2 linked regions of the Arabidopsis thaliana genome follow. The protein of the gene in region 1 interacts with the protein of each later gene in a pairwise test. Each region holds a gene or a part of one and is shown on either strand. Other genes may lie near its edges.

Region 1 (3,754 bases):
AGAATAGTTTTTTGCTTTGAGGTGTCTATCTTTATTTATAATCGGAAATTTTCAAGTAAAAAGAAATAGACTCTCCAAAGCATAGGTAGAATAATTGAATATTCTTATCAATTAAATCGTCTATAGTAGCCAATTATGATTGCAATCGTTGTGCGAATATAACCAGCATGGTATATATCACAAGTTTTTAGTTAGTGAATTTTTTAGTTATTTCAAGAGCTTGTTCTGTAGAATAAACCAAAAACTAAAAGAAAATCCATTCTATTCAATACCATAACTTCATGTGTTCACGAAACATCATGGGAACACAGTAAATAGAAAAACAAAATCAATTTATAACTATATATGAATGTTGTCAAATGGGAGTTGACCTCCAATATTATCTTTTATACATTTGAAACTTTAATTTTGACTTTTTTTTAGTAAGATAGTTTTTGTTCATGTCCTGAATGTTAGGTAACAGCTAGCGATTTGAAATAGAAATAAACATTTACAAACCATGTAGTGGTCCAAACCATTGACTCAATTAAAGAGTCAACGCATAATCGAATTTGTAATCTGTGAAGAAGAAGACTCGAATGGTATTGAACTTGATTTGATTTGATTCGTTTTGTGAATCGTATCCCGTTAGTCATTGGATTGTGCAGAGAAAACAAATATTGAAGCAACCTCTAATTAAGTCTACAAAGAAATAGGACACCACAACAAAGGTTGACTTTTACAGAATCACAAAGCCAAAACGATAATCTAGAAAGTAGAGAAACTAGACAGCACAAAACGATAAAAGACCGAGTCTGTCGACCATTACCTTAGTTTTTTTTCATATCGTTAAAAAATAATGTGATATACATGTACGTTAATACTTAATATATACTATTTGACTTGAGATAGCCCTACAAAACTTTTATTCATTTATTTCTCACAAGTTCCCTAAAACTTTATGAACCAATTTGAAGATTAATATTTTGTTACGTTGCTATCAATTTCAAATTCTTTGTAGGTGCTATATTTGAAAACTGGTTTCATACCTAAAAAGGTTATGAACCAAAGACTCAACTTGTCTGGTTATAAATAAAAGTGATTGAAAACACTCACACGGCTAGTGAATTCTCATTAGAAAAATGAAAAGTTCGTTAAATTCGACCAGTGATATAAATATATATACGAAAAACATATGATCATTATGCTTTTTGTCAGGTCCTAGAAATAAATATGTGGAACCCAATTCATTTCAACATTCACGGTAATTTAATTTCCCTTGGCAACATTTAGTCATTTACCGGAATATTCAAACTTCGAATGTTAGGAAATATTTAAGAAGGTAATGGTAAAAAGTAAGAAAAAAAGGACTGGGATCAATAAATGAGAAAAATGGAAGTAGTAGTGGGGCTAAAATTTCTCTATCCAAAATAAATGAAACAGGCGCCGACATTAACAACACCATTCCATTTATAACTCTTTATCCAAATTTTTATTTAGCTGAACCCAATTTACTCTTTCTCTTATCTTCCTCTACTTAATTCTTCTAACAAAGCTCTGTTGCAGATGCTTTCTTTAGAAAAAAATTGGGCCAATATTGTTTATTGAAAAGATCAACAACAGACTGGGTTTTGTTTAAGAAAGAATAGTGATTAGAGAACGAGTCGTTGATGTTCTAATTGACTTGCAAGAATGAAAAAAGATACCAAAAAATTCCTCAAAGAGATATTAAAAAGAAAAAACTTTTTAGACACGGAAAAAGAGAGACTTTTCTCAGAGGAAAAAAACAAGAAAAGAGAGAAACCATAGTAAAAAAAAAAAAAAAACTGTCTGTCCAACGATTTGTTTTTGTTTTTTTGTCTCTGTTCTCTCAATTCTTCTTCTTCTTCTTCTACTTCGCCCCCACGACAAGAAATTCTCCTCTCTATTTCTATCTCATTCTTTCTCTCTCTCTCTATAAAATCTTCAACTTCTGGGTTTATTCTTCCACAATCCCTCGAGTTATAATAACTCTCTGCAAAGAGTTTTACTTTGATTCTTCTGTGGAGGATCTTACACAATTTTCATGGCTTCTTGAATCATGTAATCTTTTCCTTCTCGCCATTTTTCATCTCTACCCGGATCCGTAACCAGCTCTCAGACCAGACCCGGGTTATACCATTTCTCCTCCTTAAAAGTCACACCGCGTTGACCTTCTTCCTCTGGTCTCCTCTCCCATTTTCTTTTAAAGAACTTCACAAAGTTTCAATCTTTTACTTTGGTTCCTCTCTCTCTCTCTGTTTATTAGGGTTCTGGGTTCTGTTGATGATGATTCTCTAACTAATGAGGTAGAGTTATAACCCAAAAATAACAAAAGTAGAGTTAAGTCTTTGAAATTTGGTACCAACAATGGCGAGCCAGACGGGTCAGAAAATTCGGTTGGTGAGGTGTCCCAAGTGCTTGAAGATTCTACAGGAAGACGAAGATGTTCCTGTTTATCAGTGCGGTGGTTGTTCCGCCATTCTTCAAGGTAACTTTCTTTCCATTTCGATTTTGCCTCTGATTATAATGTGAACTCTGTCCCTGAATCTGGCTTTGTTCTACTCCTGGTTGTCCATCTGTTTGGATGTCTGAGCTCAAACCAGTTGTGTTTTGTGGCATGATCTCTTTCATTATTAAATTTGGTTGTTGCTTCTTTGATTCAGCGAAAAGGCGGAACATTGCTCCAAGCAGTACACCAAGTGCAGGAGAGACAGAGAGGGCTCAAGCCAATGAGCCGCAAAGCGTACCTGAAACCAACAATGTGTCCAGCAGCTCGGGGCAGGACACGGTTCTGCCGTCATCTCCAGGTCGTTCCGTGGACCAAGAGTATGAGAAAGGTAGGAATGCATCCATGGAGTCTACGGAGAAGGAGCTTGATGACTTAGAGTTATCTAATGGAGATGGGACAAATGAAATTCAAGAGCAGGAATGTTCACTTGGTGATTCTGAGAAGAATGAAAGAGAAGACAACTCCAGATTGGAGTCTCATATGATGAACACCGTAGCAGAAGCTGCAGGATCTGGATCTAGCTCTGGAAGCTTGAGCGTTGATCATGTGGTGGCTGCAAGAGCGAGTAATCCATCCGGTAACTCTGAGATTTCACCGGATGCTTCCCCCGTAGAAGAGAAGCAAAGCCAACTTGACATTCTTGCAAACAAGACTCCTTCTGCTTATGATGTGGTGGCTGCAAGAGCGAGTAATTCATCTGGCAATGCTGAGATCTCACCTGATGCTTCCCCTGTTGAAGAGAAGCAAAGCCAACTTGATTATCCTGCAAACAAGACTTCTTCTGCTTATGATGGGAGTGAGTCTTCCTCTGACGAAAGGGAAGGCCAACTTCTCGATGATGACGAACAATGGAATGCTCTTCAGAAAATAAGATCAGGCAAATTTGAGATGCATAGATACCCTGGGTATAAGGAGCAAGGCGCTAGTTCCTCCTCCCCTTTCTCTGAGAATAGGCGCAATGGGATTACCACATACAACGAGCGGCATCAGAACAGGTCTCTACAGCTAGAGGGACCAGGAGGGCGCCTTGGCAGACAAGGGAGGAGACATGTGACAGAACAACTTCGGCCTGACATGCCTTTCTATCCGAGAGAATCATACACACGTGGAAGCCCTTCCCATCCGTCACATGATGAGTTTGATCGCTATCCCCGTGCACACTCACTTCAAATGCCTTCATACGCTGGAGGCATGAACCACGATTTTGTTGACTATATGTATCACAACAACCCAAGGGCAAGAGGT
Region 2 (3,754 bases), 5.2 Mb from region 1:
ATCTAAGGTTTCAACGCAATTGCCAGATGAAAATGCCAAACTAATTTAACGCTCCTTAATGTTCTTTGCTGTACAATGAGCTTTTGAGACGATGAGGGAAAAAGATGATGGCAAACCTTGTTTAGGTCGTGTATCGGAACTGCTTCGCTTTTCCTGATTTTCAACTTCGACAGATATTTTCGGATCAGAATCTGCAGGATTCCTCTGTATATTCTTATTTGTGCCTCTTTTGTTCCCATCAACTTCACTACTTTCACCTTTTTCTCCACCGGCATGTTTTACAGAGCTTTCTGCAGCAATAGGTACATTGTTTCTAGAAGTCGTCTTGTTGTAATCTGTCAACCAACAAACATATGCTGACAAGTTAAATTTTTGATGCATTGGCCAAACTTCCATCACAATACTTTATGTAAGCCCACACAAAGGAAGAACAATTCAATAGATCATAAATTTTACCACAATGAAAATGCATTCACTCAAGTTTAAGTATTGAAACAATGGAGACCCAACAGCGCCAATGTTGGACACAAAGCCAAGGGAAAACATAGATCAGACCTCTACATGAGTCGTCATAGGTTACATAAACGGATATATTGGGATTTTGGAGCTCGGGTCAAATTACTAATATGTTTATGCTAAAGTGCATTTGGATGGAATAAGTCCTTGCTGCAGTCAATGCATATTTATGTACACTATCAACATGAAATAGAAAATGGTAGATATTTTATTTGGTAGCAAAGATTGGCCAACCGTTTCAAAGTGAACTAAATATGCAACAAATTACTAGAAGAAAACTGAATGAAAATGATGAGAATAAGAAAATCCTGCTTACCGCGGTGATGGGAACCTGTTCGAATCTTCAACTCCTCAAATGGAGGAGGGCCATCACCAGCTTTGCTTTCCTGAGATCGAGCCAAACTAGCGTATTTTTTCTTCATCTGCCATTCTTCAGTGAGTGATTGCACATAACCGCCCAAGACAGTCACCTCTTTTGGAGTCAAACATACTAGACCATCACGTATCACAGCCTTATTTTCTAGACGTACCTGCCAACGAGACAGTACAAAATATCAACAATACAAAATGATTTATGATTTGCATATGACACCCTCTGATGCATGACAAACACATATGTGCACTAGCTTTCTATTGATTTAGATCTTAATCCAAACTATTATATTTGCATGAGACTTTCAGAAACATAGTAAAGGAGAATTTGAATTAGATTGATATGGAAATGGAACTACCTTAGTACCAGGAGTGACATCATTGTTAATCGTTGGTATATGAGAGTACTCAAGCGCGGATATTTCGGTCTTCCCGTCAGTCAGAGCGAATTTTAGCACTCGTTTACCAGTGGAACTTCCCACAAATTCCTCTGCGCTACTTCTTGTAACATCCCTAACATAACTTATCTATGCTCACAAAAGAAAACAAATTAACACTCAACAGCTTGAATCAACTGCAACAATTGAGCATTCTGAAACTAGTTTAAATCTAAGTATATCAGTGAGAGTGACTCATTGAATTAGCGAAGACCTAATGCCAATTGTTACTGACTTTAGCTGATTGAAGCAATGTACCTGGAGAACTTTGGGGCCTTGAAGATGAGAACACCTGCGTAACTCGGTCGGGTCCGGGAGGGATTTACCTCCGATTAACTTAATATCCATGTTAAGCAGCTCCGCCTCCACTGACTCCACGATGGCGCCTGTTTTATTGCCGCCGCCGATCAAGGAAGAGATTTCAGTGACCAGGGATTTCAAGTATTCGACGTCTCTGAAGCACCAGCCCCGACTAGTTAGGGCATTTATCACGACGGTGTGGGTGTGGTCGCCGGCGGAGGAGCTTGATGTTCCCACCATTGCGTTGATGCTCTTGTCGCGCTAAACCAATTGGGGAAGACGAGATTTTAATTTGGAGAATTGATTTTGTTATGGTCAATATCGAGTTAAACTAATTACTATTCACTAATGATACTTTTTGCATAAAATCGTTTTGATCAATAAAGAAGAACATTTTTAACAGAAAAACTAGAAAAGTAATTCGAAAAAGTCCTATAAAAAAGGTATTTTCCGGTTTCGTTTTAGTGGGCCTAATGGCCCATATGTAACACGAAGATTTCTGACAGTACGACTTCTAAAGTACTTTGCTTTCCTTGTTGAATTCCGACCAAAGTCGATAAAGAGTTATGACGATGGACGATGGTAACTCCGTCTACGTCGGCGGCCTCCCTTACGACATCACCGAGGAGGCTGTCCGTCGCGTCTTCTCCATTTACGGCTCCGTCCTCACCGTTAAGGTTAATTTTCTCTTTTCAATATCCTGATTTAAGTTTCTTAATTAGGATGATTCAAATTCGTTTCGTGATTTTGAAGTTCCAATCTTATTGTATGATCTTATAGATGATAAGCTTTAGTAGATATCTATGTAGAAAGACTGACCAAGTGATTTAGATAACATCCAATTGCTAGTTGATATATCTTACATGTGAGCTGGTCAGAGTGTATATTGACATATATGTGTACTATTTGAGAATTCAGATTGTCAATGACCGGAGTGTAAGAGGGAAATGCTATGGCTTTGTTACATTTTCGAACCGTCGATCGGCTGATGATGCTATCGAAGATATGGATGGAAAAGTATGGTTCTACTGCTAAAGTTTTGTTCTTTTGTTTATATTATCATGTACGTGGTGTGTTTATATTGTTGACGGTATTGAGCTCGTAATCAGAGTATTGGTGGGCGTGCAGTGCGTGTGAATGATGTGACAACAAGAGGTGGAAGAATGAATCCAGGTCCGGGGCGGTTACAACCACACGGTGGTTGGGATAGAAGTCCTGATAGGAGAAGTGATGGTAATTATGAGAGGGATCGGTATAGTGATAGGTCTCGAGAACGGGATAGGTCTCAGGATAGGAGAAAAGATCATCGCTACATAGAGAAGGAAAGAGCTTATGAGCATTCACATGATTTTGAGAGGAGGAATGATCATGATATGGTAGATAGAAATGGTTATAAGGAAAGAGTTTTCGATGGTGATGAAGGAGATTGGCGTGGGGATAGGTCTTATGTGGATAATGGTAGGGGAATAAATGGGACCAGTGCTCACGAAGGAAGGAGCCAAGAAACAAAGAGAGAAGATAGGTAAACTTTTGTTGAAAACAATGCAGTTGTAGACTTCACATTGGATTTCAAACTTTTAGTGTTCCTCCTGTTTCTTTGAATTGTGACATTCGTTGTTCTTGTAAAATTGGTCTGCTAGTTTGAATGAGTCAAAGACTGGGATGCTAGTCTTAGTCACGCCGCTAAACCAAATCATCCACACCTGTTGTGGTTAAGTTTGATAAATTATCATCGATTTTAGTGTAATGGATTTGAGGAAGTTTCTTGCTCTTGTTGGCTTTGTGCATGTTACCGTTTGAGGAATGTTTTGGCTTGCTTTGGTTTTGTTAACATGTCTAAATCTTTGTGTGTTCTTGTTGGATTGACAGTACCATTCTTGATGGTGGACGTGGCAGAGATCACTTCTCTAATTCAAGTGGAGATCATCAGGTAAAGATGATTTTCTTAGCCATGCAGTGTTTGCATAAATTCATTTTATAACTTGCAACTTCTATTACAGGTGAAAGAAGATCTGGAAGCGCTGATTAAGATGCGTGAGGCGCTTCGAGATGAGGTATGAGGTAGTTTATCTGTGCATATAGGCTGTTGGTAGATTTATTTTACATAATCACGAGTGATCCAATGAATT

The links. Proteins that work in one complex are often made in the same cells at the same time.
Region 2: the proteins of AT5G05190 (region 1) and AT5G19960 interact in a two-hybrid assay, tested with the Arabidopsis thaliana proteins (one large-scale study listed by BioGRID).

What each region holds. Positions count from the first base shown.
Region 1 is NC_003076.8:1,539,486-1,543,239, forward strand, and holds the start of AT5G05190 (hypothetical protein (DUF3133)), read left to right. Parts: upstream 1-1,732; 5' UTR 1,733-2,367; coding exon 2,368-2,488; intron 2,489-2,663; coding exon 2,664-3,754. UniProt on the Arabidopsis thaliana protein: Plays a negative role in salicylic acid (SA)-mediated resistance to powdery mildew (e.g. Golovinomyces cichoracearum). May modulate plant immunity by regulating the relocation of EDR1 by interacting with CHC2 and modulating endocytosis.
Region 2 is NC_003076.8:6,741,838-6,745,591, forward strand, and holds the start of AT5G19960 (RNA-binding (RRM/RBD/RNP motifs) family protein), read left to right. Parts: upstream 1-2,040; 5' UTR 2,041-2,191; coding exon 2,192-2,302; intron 2,303-2,543; coding exon 2,544-2,642; intron 2,643-2,679; exon of another isoform or gene 2,680-2,734; coding exon 2,735-3,147; intron 3,148-3,494; coding exon 3,495-3,555; intron 3,556-3,625; coding exon 3,626-3,679; intron 3,680-3,754. Other genes in the region: AT5G19950 (tudor domain protein (DUF1767)), read right to left, coding at 117-335, 833-1,046, 1,248-1,415, 1,584-1,865.